Linked DNA regions of Lytechinus pictus. The protein of the gene in region 1 interacts with the protein of each later gene in a pairwise test. Links are inferred from orthologs where the notes say so. Each region holds a gene or a part of one and is shown on either strand. Other genes may lie near its edges.

Region 1 (6,836 bases):
CAAGTATCATACACACCAAATTATATGAGCCAAGGTTAAGTTAAACTGAAGTTATCGCGTTGACAAGGAATGCAGAAGGGTAAGATGAAAACATGTCACTGTGACCTTGACTTTTGACCTCGAAATCAATAGGGTTCCTGGGATCCATGCTAGTAGTATACAAACCAATTTATATGAGCCTAGGTTAGGTTAAACTGAAGGTATCACATTTACAAGGACTGCAGAAGGGTAAGATGAAAACAAGTCACTGTGCCCTTGACCTTTTGACCTCGAAATCAATAGGCTTCCTGGGATCTATGCTAGAAATACACACACCAAATTATTTGAGCCTAGGTTAAGTTAAACTGAAGTTATCGCATTTACAAGGACTGCAGAAGGGTAAGATGAAAACATGTCACTGTGACCTTGACCTTTTGACCTCAGACTTCAAAATCAATAGGCTTCCTGGGATCCATGCTAGCATTATACACACCAAATTATATGAGCCTAGATTAAGTTAAAATGAGCCTAGATTAAGTTAAACTGAAGTTATCGCGTTTAAAAGGACTGCAGAAGGGTGCGATGAAAACATGTCACTGTGACCTTGACCTTTGACCTCAAAATCAAAAGGCTTCCTGGGATCCATGCTAGTATCATACACACCAAATTATATGAGCTTAGGTTAAGTTAAACTGAAGTTATCGCGTTTACAAGGAAAAGTTAATGGATGGACGGACAGACGGACGGACACCGAGCATGGTACCATAATACGTCCCGTAAGACGGGCGTACAATAAAAAGGTTTGTGGGCTACATTTTTTTCTCTCTACAAATATAGGGCTTCACAAGTATCTCATATATGTTCAAAACTACAATTTTGGAGCATTATGGTATATTAAAAGTAATCCTGATATGCAAATTAGATCATATATTGGATATGTATAATGTATGACTGTGCAAAAAATATCTAGCATTTATTCAATAGATGGAGAGAAAATGAGAAAAAAAAAATTCCAAACATCTTGATGTTTCGATCTCAGTTGCAGGTGTGCGCTGACTAAATATTTAAGCTAAACCTGGTGAGTCTTTATTTCTTTATATCAATCACATTTTTATATTGGACCAGAATCTCTTCTCCATTTTTCTGTGATTTTCTCCTGCTATAATATGCTGCAAAAGAGAAAACATAATGCATACTCTAGGTTTTAGGATTCAAAGAGGAAGAAAGGAAAAATCATTGTTTTGTATCTGGATTTGTTATGCATAATTTATTTACTTCACCATTATGAGTGCGTGTCTATATGTTGTAGATCAAAGTAAAAAAGTCCACACAATGCAAGAATAATACAATTCATTTATCCTCTTTCAATCATTTCATATTATCAATGATAGAACAATATATATTTTACCACAAATCAATTTGCAAAGTATAATAACAGCAAACAAGGTTTACATACAAGATGTACAAAGTAAAAGTAACTTAGTGGTAGTGGCTGCAGAATTAATATTTCAGAAGTTTGTTTTATTCATTGTTTATTCATTTATTCATTGTTGTAGGGAACAGAAAATCCATGTCGACATGTCGCATAAAAATTAATCCCGACATCGACATTTGGAAAAGGGACCGTAATTTAGGCTCCCTAACAATCATTCGATCATGGCACATAACACTCTCAAATGTAGTCACCTTGACACGAGTGATATCCCCACACTAGATCTAGATCTATACAGGCTCAGTTCAGGAAAACATATTTTGAATAAGCTAGAGTGAATTTACTTCCAAAATCGCCGATTTAATCCACATTTATTCTGGAGAATCAAGTTTTTGTACCACGATCCGGTCTCGAAAGCATTGCGCAATCACACTCGGAGCCAATTTGAGAATCACCAATTGCAACAGTGATAATTGCGTATTAAACGCTGGTACACATGTGCTGCAAACGCAAGCTCCTCAAATTGACAATAAAAATAATAAAAATTGATCGATAATTTCAGTACCACCTCTGCGGCGATCCAAACAAAGGAAGGAAAGTTTTCTGTGACTTCGTGAAATGAAGCGCTCAATTACAGCAGTCACAACTTCGACGAAAACATTTGTTCGCTGCTGCTCACGTCTATGTGAAAAGTAATACATTGAGGAGCAGCGTATTATCAATATCAACGCATCGATAATTGCATGGGTACGGTGAACGTGAATGCTGCTCGCTAGCACGGAGCAGAGATCAGATGATCGTCAGGCTTGGGCCCCGCGCCGCACCGACGTATTTCTGCTGCCGCGCAGCTTGCAGGCATTCTTTATTAATTTGATGCGCTGCTAAAAATTGCGCCAAAAATTAAATTACTGTGGATAAATGTTTCTAACTTTTCAGGTAAACTTTACATTCGTGACTTAGGCTAGACCCCTTTTTATTTCATATTTACATGTCGATGTGGGTGCGTGAATGTCGGAAACATTGAAAATCCTTCGTATGTCGATATGAGGCCATCGACAACACTCAACAGCACTAATTCAATGACATTCACATTGTCATTGATCATGTTGATTGATGTTTTTCTTTATAATTTTTGGGCAACCAAATAATTAATAAGTTAATGTGGATTTAGAGATATGTTTTTTATAGGAGCATGTCGAATCAGGAAGATAACAAAAAAGAAAACAAAGATAAGTCTTAAAGACAAACGCGATTTTCATACCGGCCGTGCAGCTGCCCTTGCCCGGATGGAGAGCCAGCCACCGCACCGGTCACCTTCGCGAATGATCCTACCCCGACAGGCCCGGGCAATATGATTGTGAGCGTTCGGTAAAACATTTGGGTATCTACCGGTACTTACATGGTCCGAATATATGTGTCTGCTCTGCGCTGCATTGTTTCTCATTAGTATGAAAACTTCTGTTAGACTTCTGGAAGCCATTGTGATGTGTTTCCTCTCTCAAAATTTGATCAGACCTGTTCAAAAGAAGAAAAATTTATGGATTTATTGTTGTTCCACGTAAACCATATTGACAGGTTTCATGTAATTGTACTATTCATCAACGTAGAGGGCGGGTGACGTTAAAGTTTACCCTGACAAAAATAGAAGAAAAAAAAATAAGAAGAAATAATAATAAAAAAAAAAGTTTGAGAAAAATCCATCCGTCAAAGAATAAAACAAGTAATTAGAATTTTCATCATTAGATCATATGCGAGCAGCTTTCCTACATATCGTGTGGTAAACAAATTAAAGAAATGTCATTTTCTCAAAATACTGTACCTTTGGTATATATCAATTGTCAAATCATTTCACACCCGGATCCAATAGGGGGCGAGACCCCCCCCCCCCCCTATTGGCGGAGCCAAAAAAAAGACAAAAGATGGAAAGAAAAAAAAAAGAAAAAAGGGGGAAAGAGAGGAGGAAAAAAGAGGGAAAATAAGAAGAGGAAGACGAATTATTTAAAATAAGGTGAAAGGAAGACTTGGAAAATAAAAATTTTCGCGCTCGCATTAATTGTTAAAAATATATTAACCTCTGCATCCTATTCATGACTACAAAAGTGCTTAGAATAACCAGTTTTCAGGCTCTAATATCAATAAATTTCTTGCTCTCATTAGGCTTATTAGATTAATAAATTAGATCATTGAATCCCTATAAATTGTCCCCCTTTTCAGAAAGGAATATGTCGAGTAAGTTTCATCTCCCGCATATTAGGAAGAGGAATAGGAAGATAGCCACCATTTTCATGTGATGACAAAATGTCCTTGAAATGTGTGAATTAGGTAAAGAAAATAATTTTATGCTCAGGTGCTTGCCTCCCCCTCCGTTTTACTAAAAATAAAACATCTGAGGCAGCTTAACTTTTTTTTATTATGTTATGCTTATTATTATGTACCACATTGTGCAACGGAAATCGATAAATGTAATGAAATGATGAAAAAATGTATTCAGAATGCCCAGATTATAGGTTTAGATCTAAAAAAAAACACGCACGCATGTTTAAAGAGATATACGCAGCTTCTTCTTTATTTAAAGGGCTGTTCAAGGCTGAAAATAGTATGATTTGAACAGATAAAGAGAATTAGAGAGTCAAAAGGGGCCTATAAGCTTTCGATCCGAGCAGAATCTTCGTCGGAGGCAAAATGACAAACATATAAAGTGGAACAACCATGTAATATAGACCACAGACAAGCTACAGCAACACTAGAAACAAGGGTACAAAAGGGACATTAGTGTGTAGAGAAGACCAATCAGGTTAGTGAAAGATAAAGAAAAATCAGATATTAACAAAACACTGAAAATTTGATCAAAATTGGACAAAGAATAACGAAGTTATGATATTTTAAAGATTTGCATTATTCCGGTGAAACATTTCTAGGCACGGTCTTCTTGAATTTATCCCCACTTCATCTTTTGTATTTTATTATATAAAAGTAGGTTTATTCAATTTTTTTTTGCCTCCAAACATAAAAAATATCGGATTGACAACTGATTCAGTGCATTAGATATTTATTGCTGCAAACTATATCATAAGAAGGGATACATGAGTGACACCATTTCACACATGTATGAAAAAAATCAAACAATTATGATTTCATGCAATAACATATAAGAAAAAGGGTAAGTGACATCATCAGCCCATAATAAATATTCATGACGATGTGCAGATAACGTTTTTCACACAATGGCCCGAATTCACAAAGGTGGTTTCATTTAAAACCATGGTTTTTGCAGAAACAACCTTTGTGAATTCGGGCCAATATGGATAACCTTTAAAATTCAATAACTTTGCTATTTGTTATCAGCCTTGATGGAAATTTCTGCGTTTTGCTCTCAGTGAATTTTGCTTTATCTATTTACATATAAATACATTGCAGAGTATCCCTTTAAAACGTGCTTAAATTATCCGGTTTCGAATCCGAATATAAACAAATTTCTGCTCGCTTTATCAATGAAGGAAGATACCCAAATTGCCATCCTTTTCATGATTTACAAAACATGAATAGAGTGTTTCATTTTTAGGTCTGAAAACTTATTTTATTTCCGCTCATGCTTCGTCGCGTTGGCATCAATTGTTATATATACTGTTCATGATTACAAAAATTGCTTAGTCCATTTCTTTTTAGGTCGGAATGTCAAAAAATTTTTGCTTGTGCTTTGCGCTCGCATTATATAATTGTTGAAATATTTATTGTCTTTATGGCTAACTACAAAAAGTCCTTTTCGATCAGGCCTGAACGTACATCAAAAAATTCTAGTTACCTAACGTTACGCATCTTGTTCAGGATCACAAACATCTCCCAGAATGTTCAATTTTCAGGACAATAATCGTTCCATTTGTATAGCGCAACTACTATAATTGCATATACTCTACTGCGCTTGATACTTGGTATCATTATAAAATACATGAAATCTAATAAAAAATTAGCTCGCGCTTAATTCGCTCTCGCAATATTTCAACAGGGCTTATGAGATTATTAGATATTTATGTCGTTTTAAAAGAATATAAAGATAAGAAGTGACTGTAAGGACAACCCCTTAAAAAAAAAATCAAAAATCAACTTTGAGCGGCCGATCGGGGATAATATGGGTGAAATATTTTTTGCCCCCCCCCCCCCATCGGCGAAAGCTGGATCCGCCCCTGAAGAGGTTAACATTAATTTTAAATTATTATCGTTTATAGCTATACATCTTGTCCTATCTTGTCCAATGCATCGTTTTCTAGATGCCAGGATTATCTGACTGCACTTAAACTCAAGTTTTCTATAATTCGGGAACTCGGTCCTCTAGTCTATAGGGGGCCGGTGTTGCAAGAAAATTTATTTGCAATCAATTGCAAATATTCTGTTGCAAGCTAACAATTGATAGACCAATTTCAACTGTAGGAAATCCGATTACACTGCTTGTTTCACGAAACAGATAAGAAATCAATTGCAAAGTCACAATTAATTTCACAACTTATGATTCATTTAGAGACCAAAAATATACTTGCAAGTTTCTTGCAACGCCCCATTTAGAGCCCTAAACTAAAAATCATCGCGAACTCATCAGCTCGCGCGCGCGCTCCCATGCATCCTCCAGTCGATAATCTCTTCTTCCCAAATCTTCCACCACAGAGCAAGAAGGAGGCGGGGCCTTTGTTGATCAGCTGTAGTGTTAGAGCGCCGTACTATTTGGCAAAGAAAAGAGGGGAAAAGAGAGCCAGTGCCGACACTGAGTCTTGTCGACTGGCAATAGGTAAGTACATCAATTTACTCCTTATGCATAATTTGAAAACTGATATTTTTGTAAACCAAAACCCTTAATTCAAAAGGGGAGATTTGCCATCATCTGTTGTGTCAGTGATGTTGTCTTCAGTCCCATATGTTTGTAACTGTGAGAGTTGGTTTAACTTTATAATTATACTACTAGCCTGCTGGGGACTAGGGACTGCATTGACACACTGCATTGACACAGAATCTCCGAATTTCACGATGTTAAGTAAAGATAAATTCCAGTTTTGGTAACGATCTCAAAATGACTTTTTACAGAATCTAATATCTTAATGACCACCCAAGTGTCTGTTTGTATGAATAAAAAATATGTGCCAAAGGATTCTGGAAGAAATTGTGTAATTGCTGAGAAATAAGCAAAATAAGCGCGGATTCGGTCACTTCCGTCGGGTCTTTATTCCAGCAATAATAATACACTGTCCCACGTGTGCCTATCTGTGTTTGTGATCTTCAGTGTGAACATTTTTCAGCGTAGATTTCAAGATTTCACAAAGTTCAGTTTATGTAACTGTACCAGATCTAGATCCTCGATGATATACTGACAATTAAACCTGGTTTTACAGACTTTCTCATGAAATCAGTGTTTACTGCAACTACTGGAATTTATCTTTAA
Region 2 (7,792 bases), on another chromosome or scaffold:
TTTATGCAGGTCGACTTGTTGGAACTGGCCTTTAAGAACCTAAAAAAAAGAGGAAATGATACAGGTTACACAATCAAAATTCAATTCTTTGATTTATTACCTGTCCTCATCAGAGATATCCTGGCTATCTTTCTGACACACAGTCTCATATCTAAATCTGAGAGGCACCTTGTGCTGTTCTAAGATGCCCCTAGCTGCACTCTCCCCAATCTCAAAGGCATAAACACCTTTCCTCTTTGGATAAGCCTTGTCAATCGTTCCTGCAGATCAAAAGAGAGAGTGAGAGAATAACAAATAGAAAAACTAAAGAAAATCCTAAGAAATCTATGTGAAGGAAATGTTAAAAATCCAAATGAAAAATTAGAATTGAAAACAATTTCTTATTCAATTTTTACCCTATACGATATGCAAGATCAGTGGCATCTCTTATGTGCTGCAACCAGAGAGCCCCAACATTCATGACTTCAAAAGTAATAGAAAAAATATAAAAGAGAAAAAGAGGGTTATAGATTTAGAGGCCTAGCTGTTATTAAAAAAAAAAAAAAAAAAATTCTCCTTGCCCTCCCATCCCATCCCTAGATAAAAATCGCCTGGCAAAGCGGCAATATGCCTTGAATTGAAGTTTTCCAAATGCTCCTAAATCAAACTAAGTTATTTTCAACTGATTAAGAGTTCGTCAAGTACATTTTCAGTTGGTTTTTTAACTGGTTAAGATATCATGTAGTATAATGAAGTATAAATTTTATAATATAGACAAGTGAAGTTCAATAATACATGTAGATGATTGAAAGCATATTCCAACATTCTTCAAAACACCTACCTCCAGTTTGAATGATAAGAACTTGCATTGTAGAATTTAGTTCCATCTTGAGTGATCCTCCATGAAAAACTGAAGATGGAAAGGAAATAAAAAAGAAAACCCTGTTAAGTTAGGCATGCATATCTAATCAACAATTATTTGAATGAAAATAAAAATACAATCATGACCAATTAAGCCTAATAAGAAATATTACATCACTCAGGTCCTCGTAAAAAGACGTCATCATCATGATCAACATCAATTAAGTTCTCAAAACATCACAAATTCAATTCACAGCATCAGAAATCAGCTAAGAAATTATTTCTCTTGCCTCACCTACATGACATTATGACATGAGCGTTAACTTTAAGCGAGACTCAAATTTTAAAAGCAAGAAGTGAAGAACCACGCCGCGGCCGTATAACGATCAACGATGAGAAACAAGATGGTGGCGTAAACATTCGGGCAAGTCTCCCCCGTCTTTTCATAATATTTTTCTCATTTTTTTAATGAATTCTCGTTTAAAAATGAAATCGATAGCGTAGAAATGAAGTTGTATCCCATTTTAGGGCTAGATCTTTTGGAAGGAAAGTATATCTCGGACTCGGGGGCGAAAGTTTGAGGTTTTTTGGTGGTAGGCTACATGTAGATTGCAATGGAATCCCTGGCTTCATAGAGAGTAAGCATAATAAGTTACTTTAGTAAATGATTTTTACTCTCTTCTCTAGAAGCCTCCTGGCTGCGCACACGTAATCCCCGCGACTATACCTACCTATATGCCGTGCCAGCGGCTAGGCACTCGAACTCATGGCGCTTAGATCACGGGTCCGTAGCCCGGCCGGTGGACGTGGCGTGGCCGGGGTGCAACACAGCTCCAGCCGGCAGTTTAGTCACTCACAGAAATTACAGCCACAGCTCAGGGAAGGTACCACAGCTGCTTCAGTGATTGTTACGTTTTTATCCTGAATCTTTTCTTACCCTTATTATGTCTACATGATATCTATCATAAAGAAATCCAGTCATTACGTACCCTTAGTCTTTTTTTAGTCTCATAATCGAATCCAAAATCAAGTTTTTCAGCATGTAACTTGTTATAGTTTTAGAAATTAGCGACTATTAAATGATTGGTGCCATATCTGTTACGGTATACCAATTTGCTGATCAATCCATTTCTATCTACCTTTTTATTTATTTATTTTTTTTAGTTATCTAATGCTTTATCTAACTTTTCATTGCTTAATTTATCTTGAATGTTTTCTAATTGATTTTTTTTATTTATATGTTTTATTGGGTCAACACAAACCAAGTATATACAAAAATAACAAATCATACATAATTAAACTATTCCATATCATTAGAAAAAAAAGAGAAAAAACAAGTGGAGCGCCTCTGGCAGTCTCAACTGCATCGCGCGATTCAATATAGCAACAGTGCTGACTTTGAAACTACAGGCTATAAAAATAAGTAATCATATCATTAGAAAAAAAAGAGAAAAAACAAGTGGAGCGCCTCTGGCAGTCTCAACTGCATCGCGCGATTCAATATAGCAACAGTGCTGACTTTGAAACTACAGGCTATAAAATAATTATTCACAAAAAACACCATTCATATAATGATACAATGCTACGTTCAGTGGCGTACCTGGGATTTTTCACAGGGGGGGGGCAAAACCGTCCGCCAAAAAATTTGACAAGCAAAAAAAAAAAAAAAAAAAAAAAAAAAAAAAAAAAAAGGTCTTCAATCACAACTGAAGGATTTTGTACCCAAAAAAAATTTGACAAGCTCGTCAGGGGGGCAATAAAGGTCTTCAAGCTCGTCAGGGGGGGCAGGTATATGACTTTTGTATGGGATGTGGCTCGTCAGGGGGGGCAGAGTGCCCCCCCTGCCCCCCCCCCCGTAGGTACGCTAGTGGCTACGTTCATTGACAAAAAAATGACATTTGGCCTTGATCATGCGACCTAAGACTTGTCCCCTATATCCATATCTTATGAACTATATCTATAAACTTTGAAAGTTATATGACAGCAATCTAATAATTGATTGTTACTGATTGATTAACTAATTGATTCGTTGATTCAATTATTTTTATTTTGTATTTTTTGATGTTTTTATTTATTCACACATTAACTATCGATTTTATTTACCCGTTAAAAGCTCTTGATGCTAACTTCATGCTTTGTTGGTGTAATAATTTGACGAATTCGTAGATCTATTAAACTATATTTTCTTACCAATTTCATATTCCCCATTGATTAAATTTGTTACCTCCACCCATCCATCCACCCGTCAATGCGCCCATGCCAATCTATCCATCTATTCATGCATGGCCCATAGGTCCATGTATCATGCATTCCCGTTCCTGTCAATAATTATTAAATTTATGGTGGGCTAATTGAATCTGTTGATTTCATCTATCATCAATTAATTGATATTATCTACTCGTTACTTTTTAAAACCATTATTATTGTTTATCGCCATTCTATACAATATGATCATTTACTTTATCTACTAATTTCACTCCACTTATCTTTTTTGTTTAATTTTCTTTCGTTAACAGTGTGGCCTTGCTATGGGGCTGCACAATTCGAAAAAATGCAAAAGAAATGATTAAGAATTTTCTTGTTCATTACAGTTGTTATTTTTACTTTTTCAATTTTTATGAAGAGCAAAATTAGATTTCAGTTGGAGCCCGCCTCCCCTTCTAGGGACGCCCTAGGCAGAAAGCCCATGCAAAGTTAATATCAAATTTGTAAAATGAACGCAAACTTACAGGAATTATATAATCCGATAACTTCTTTAAACCAATATGGCCGTATAATTACCCCCCTCATGATCTCCCCTGAAATTTTGAAGAAAAAAAAATTATGTTTCTGCTGAGATGCTCACAATTTTTTTAAAGCTACAGTTAATCAAATAGCAATTCCTTTGTGATAACCTTTGCTCTTCGTTTGTTCATATATATATTTTTGAACATTTTGTGTGTTTTTACGGCATTGATATCATCTGCGGTTAAATCACTGGTGGATCCAGGGGGGGGGGGGGGCAGCCGGCCCGTGCCCCCCCCCCCCCCCTTTGAGAGGCGCAATTAAAGTTTGTAATGTAAAAATACCTTTAAAACAGAAGTGTGCCCCCCCCCCCGGAAAGTGAAGACCTTTTTTATCATTTTGCTTATCAAATTGTTTCGTTAACTAAATACCCAAGTTTTGTTTAAAACCATTTTTTTTTGCTTGTCAAATTTTTTTTGCTTGTCAAATTTTTCCTCAGGAAAATGTGTCCCCCCCCCCCCCCCTTTCCAAAAAGCTTGGATCCGCCCCTTGGTTAAACAGAGCTGTCCGACACTGACCATGCAGTATTTGCAATTGATTTCAAACTTCAGTTGCAATTTGCAAGTGATATACTTGAACTACACATACCACTTTAGAGGTTTAAAGAACCAATTAAAGAACAAGATCAGTCGCAAATGATTGCAATAATTATGATTGGTTTAAAGACTTAGCCTTGCATGCGATCGATTTATAACATCTGTTTGCAGTATTTCTCATTCCAAGTGGGGTGAGGTGTCATCAGGTGGGGGATGGTTAAATAGTGGTGGGGCCCGGGACTATCAAATTGGGGTTTTTATTTTAGTATCGCTGTATTGTTTTCCGCTGATCAACTACGTTGGTTGCACAAAAAATGCCAGCAATTGAAAATAAATCCCCCGAACTAACAGTTAATCAATTATGTCTTAATTGACTTTTCACTAGATGCTGAAGTTGCATTTTCGAGAATGAGTTATGGGTTATTTGATTGATTTACATACATGTAGTTGTTATAATTTTCATAGAGGGTATTTTTAAAATGAAATTCGACTCCCCCTCACCACTTAACTTGGCTGTTTATGGGCACTTGCCCCCACTTGCCTCCCTCACAACGCGGTTTTGTTACATTGCTTACAGATCATTTAAGTGTATGACGATCTTTAAATTGGCAACAAAATACCAAGCAAATAATAATGGCTTATTTCAATTATTGACAGAACGTTAACGTGCGTGACTTGCAACCCTGGCCCTGAGAACAACTGCGACTGGCAAATGATATTTCAGGGGATGATTATCAATTGTTAATTGAAATTTTACGTCGTTTGAGATCAAATCTTCTATCAAGAGATCAAGAACAACTATTTACGTAGTTTTCCGAGCTGCCAGGAAGGTGAAACTTGAACCAAGTTGAAGAGAGCTCGAGAGTCTTGGCCGAAGATACATCGCACCAGCCACCACCGCCGCGCCGGAACGTTAATCCGATCTCGACGAAGCCAAGGCCAAGGGGGAAAAAACAACACCCAAAAAGCAAAATCTGCTCTCCCCAAACCAAAGCTAAGTTTTGATAATGTCACGAGGATCAAGTGCTGGGTTTGATCATTTCATTACTGTCTTTTCCCCAGAAGGGCGGCTGTATCAAGTTGGTAAGTAGAGCCTGCTCACTGGCACTGCTGGAATTGTTTTAACATGTTTATAATAATGTAGCCTATTGTTATGTTACTTTGTTAGGAAAGTGGGATTGGGAAGGAAGAGAAGGTCAATTTAAGGACGTTCCACAGTTAAAATGAAGTCCATGTCATTTTCACCATATTTTGCAGAGAGTTACTTTGGTATCTATGCATTATGAAAATGCAAAAAATAATATAGGTTCATGTGCTTATTTTTTTTCTACGGGACTTCAAAGTCGCCGTATTTGAATGATATGAAATATTGCGCAATCATGAGAATTATGCCTCTCTTAGACCTCACGAATTCACCAAATGCAAGGCTCGACATTAGCAGTGGCCCGGTGGCCCGGGGCCACCAGAAATTCACATCGGGCAACCATTATTGAAAAAATATTAAGTTTTGGTGGCCCGAATCGGGCAACCAATAATTTTCAGAATAGCGCAATTTTTCTCCCCATTTTGCACGCATTTATCAACTTTCTACAGTTCAAATTGCAAGCCAGTTCATCATGCGCCCTTTTTGTTGATCTACACACAAACACACACACAAAGTAGGCCTACCGCTATAGCATTAAGTAGCTTTTATCCAGCCGGCCGCGCCGGCTGGCGTGAGCTTTGCATGCTTCAAGCAGCTGTGCGTTAACAGCCTATTCAGACTCGGGGAGCTGCAATACGAAATGTTGCTGCTATGAAATCTTCCACAGAACTGAAAATCCAAGTCAAAGTCACATTTTACACCAATGAAATGCCCTTCTACAGACCTTGTTGCTAAAATCTGGTGTATCCTGATTATTTGCAAGCATTAAAAAGAGGAATCATGACCTCTCTTTTGACTCAAAAAGACCGATTTCCAAATGAAAATAATACACATAAAAACACATAGGTGAGAACATCACAGTCCCACGTGTGCATTTGTATATATGTTGTTACTTGGTTTCTTTCGAAGCTGTGTCTTTTCCGGTCTTTTCTAGCCAAAACTAAACAGACAGTTACTTAATTCTTTCTTGTTTATAATAAAAATGACTTCTTAAACAACTCTTGAGAAAGTAAATACTTTGGGAAGGCATTTCATTAATATGAAATGTTAATTTTTCCAACATTTTGGCAAATATAGGGAAGGAATTTTCTCACACCTTTTTTTGCCGTTTTATTATTTTCTTTCATTTTTTTTGACAGTGGTTAAACCATTTATACCCATTTATTCATTTTTAATGTTTTTCTTTATATTTTTTGGGCCACCAAACTTTAATATCGGGCCACCAAAAAAAATTATTTGAAGGTTTTGGTGGCCCGAACGGGCCACCACCAAAAAAAGTTAATGTGGAGCCTTGCCAAATGAGTTTAAATCATCTTTACTCTCTCGATATCACATCAAACTTTCAGGATGTGTAACTTAGTAGATACCAAAGTAGGAGAAAGTCTTTTAATTGGTAAAACTATATCTATTTGGATTCAGCAGCGCCCTCATTTGGCAGGAATGGTGCAAAAACTCGGAAAAAACAAATCTTCAAAGACGTGAATCTACTAAAAAATTAAAAAAGTATAGTTTAAGCTGCACTTTATTAAAAATCCATGTCACTTTCATCAAATATGGCTAAACTGTAGAGGAATGTATATGAAAGATGTAGGGAAGTTAAAAATATAGGGTCCATGTGCTCGTTTTTTAACTATGAGTGTCCAAAGTGTTGCGAGTTGGCTTGAAAATCGCCTAAAATGCGCCGAAAACGTGCAAAGTCTAATAATACCGTCTATAATGCGAATGGTTCCCGTATTTCGATCCCAAACATTCAAAATCCATGTCATTTTCATCATAATCTCTAAATTTGTAGAAGAATATATTCTGAAGCCGTTCAAATGTTAAAAATATAGGATCCATGTGCTCGTTCTTTAGTTATCAGTGTCCAAAATGTTGCGAGTTGGCTTGAAAATCGCCTATGCGACGAAAACGTGCAAAAGTATATACTACCGTTTATAATGCGAATAGTTCCCGTATTTTGCTCCCAAACATTCAAAATCCATGTCATTTTCATCATAATCTCTAAATTTGTAGAGGAATATATTCTGAAGCCGTTAAAATGTTAAAAATATAGGGTCCATGTGCTCGTTTTTTTAGTTATCAGTGTCCAAAATGTTGCGAGTTGGCTTGATAATCGCCTATGCGCCGAAAACGGGCAAAAGTCTATAATAATTATACCGTTTATAATGCGAATAGTTCCCGTATTTCGCTCCCAAACATTCAAAATCCATGTCATTTTCATCATAATCTCTAAATTTGTAGAGGAATATATTCTAAAGCCGTTAAAATGTTAAAAATATAGGGTCCATGTACCCGTTTTTAAACTATCAGTGTCTAAAGAGTTGCGTGTTTGCTTGAAACAGCCCAAAATGCGCCGAAAACATGCAAAAGGCTATACCGTCCGAAATGTCTAAAATACAAAAGATTCCTTAGTTCTGCTCCCAAACACTCAAAATCCATGTCATCTTCATCATATTCTCTAGATTTGCAGAGGAATATATTCTAAAGC

The links. The genes of interacting proteins can lie anywhere in the genome.
Region 2: the proteins of syntaxin-16-like (region 1) and proteasome subunit alpha type-6-like interact in a two-hybrid assay, tested with the Caenorhabditis elegans proteins (3 studies listed by BioGRID). The link is inferred for Lytechinus pictus from reciprocal best matches to the Caenorhabditis elegans genes syx-16 and pas-1.

The regions. Positions count from the first base shown.
Region 1 is NC_087246.1:49,417,877-49,424,712, reverse strand, and holds the start of syntaxin-16-like, read right to left. Parts: upstream 3,021-6,836; 5' UTR 2,892-3,020; coding exon 2,811-2,891; intron 1-2,810.
Region 2 is NC_087251.1:30,306,834-30,314,625, forward strand, and holds the start of proteasome subunit alpha type-6-like, read left to right. Parts: upstream 1-4,789; 5' UTR 4,790-5,167; coding exon 5,168-5,243; intron 5,244-7,792. Other genes in the region: uncharacterized protein LOC129264587, read right to left, coding at 101-260, 821-866. UniProt on the Caenorhabditis elegans protein: The proteasome is a multicatalytic proteinase complex which is characterized by its ability to cleave peptides with Arg, Phe, Tyr, Leu, and Glu adjacent to the leaving group at neutral or slightly basic pH.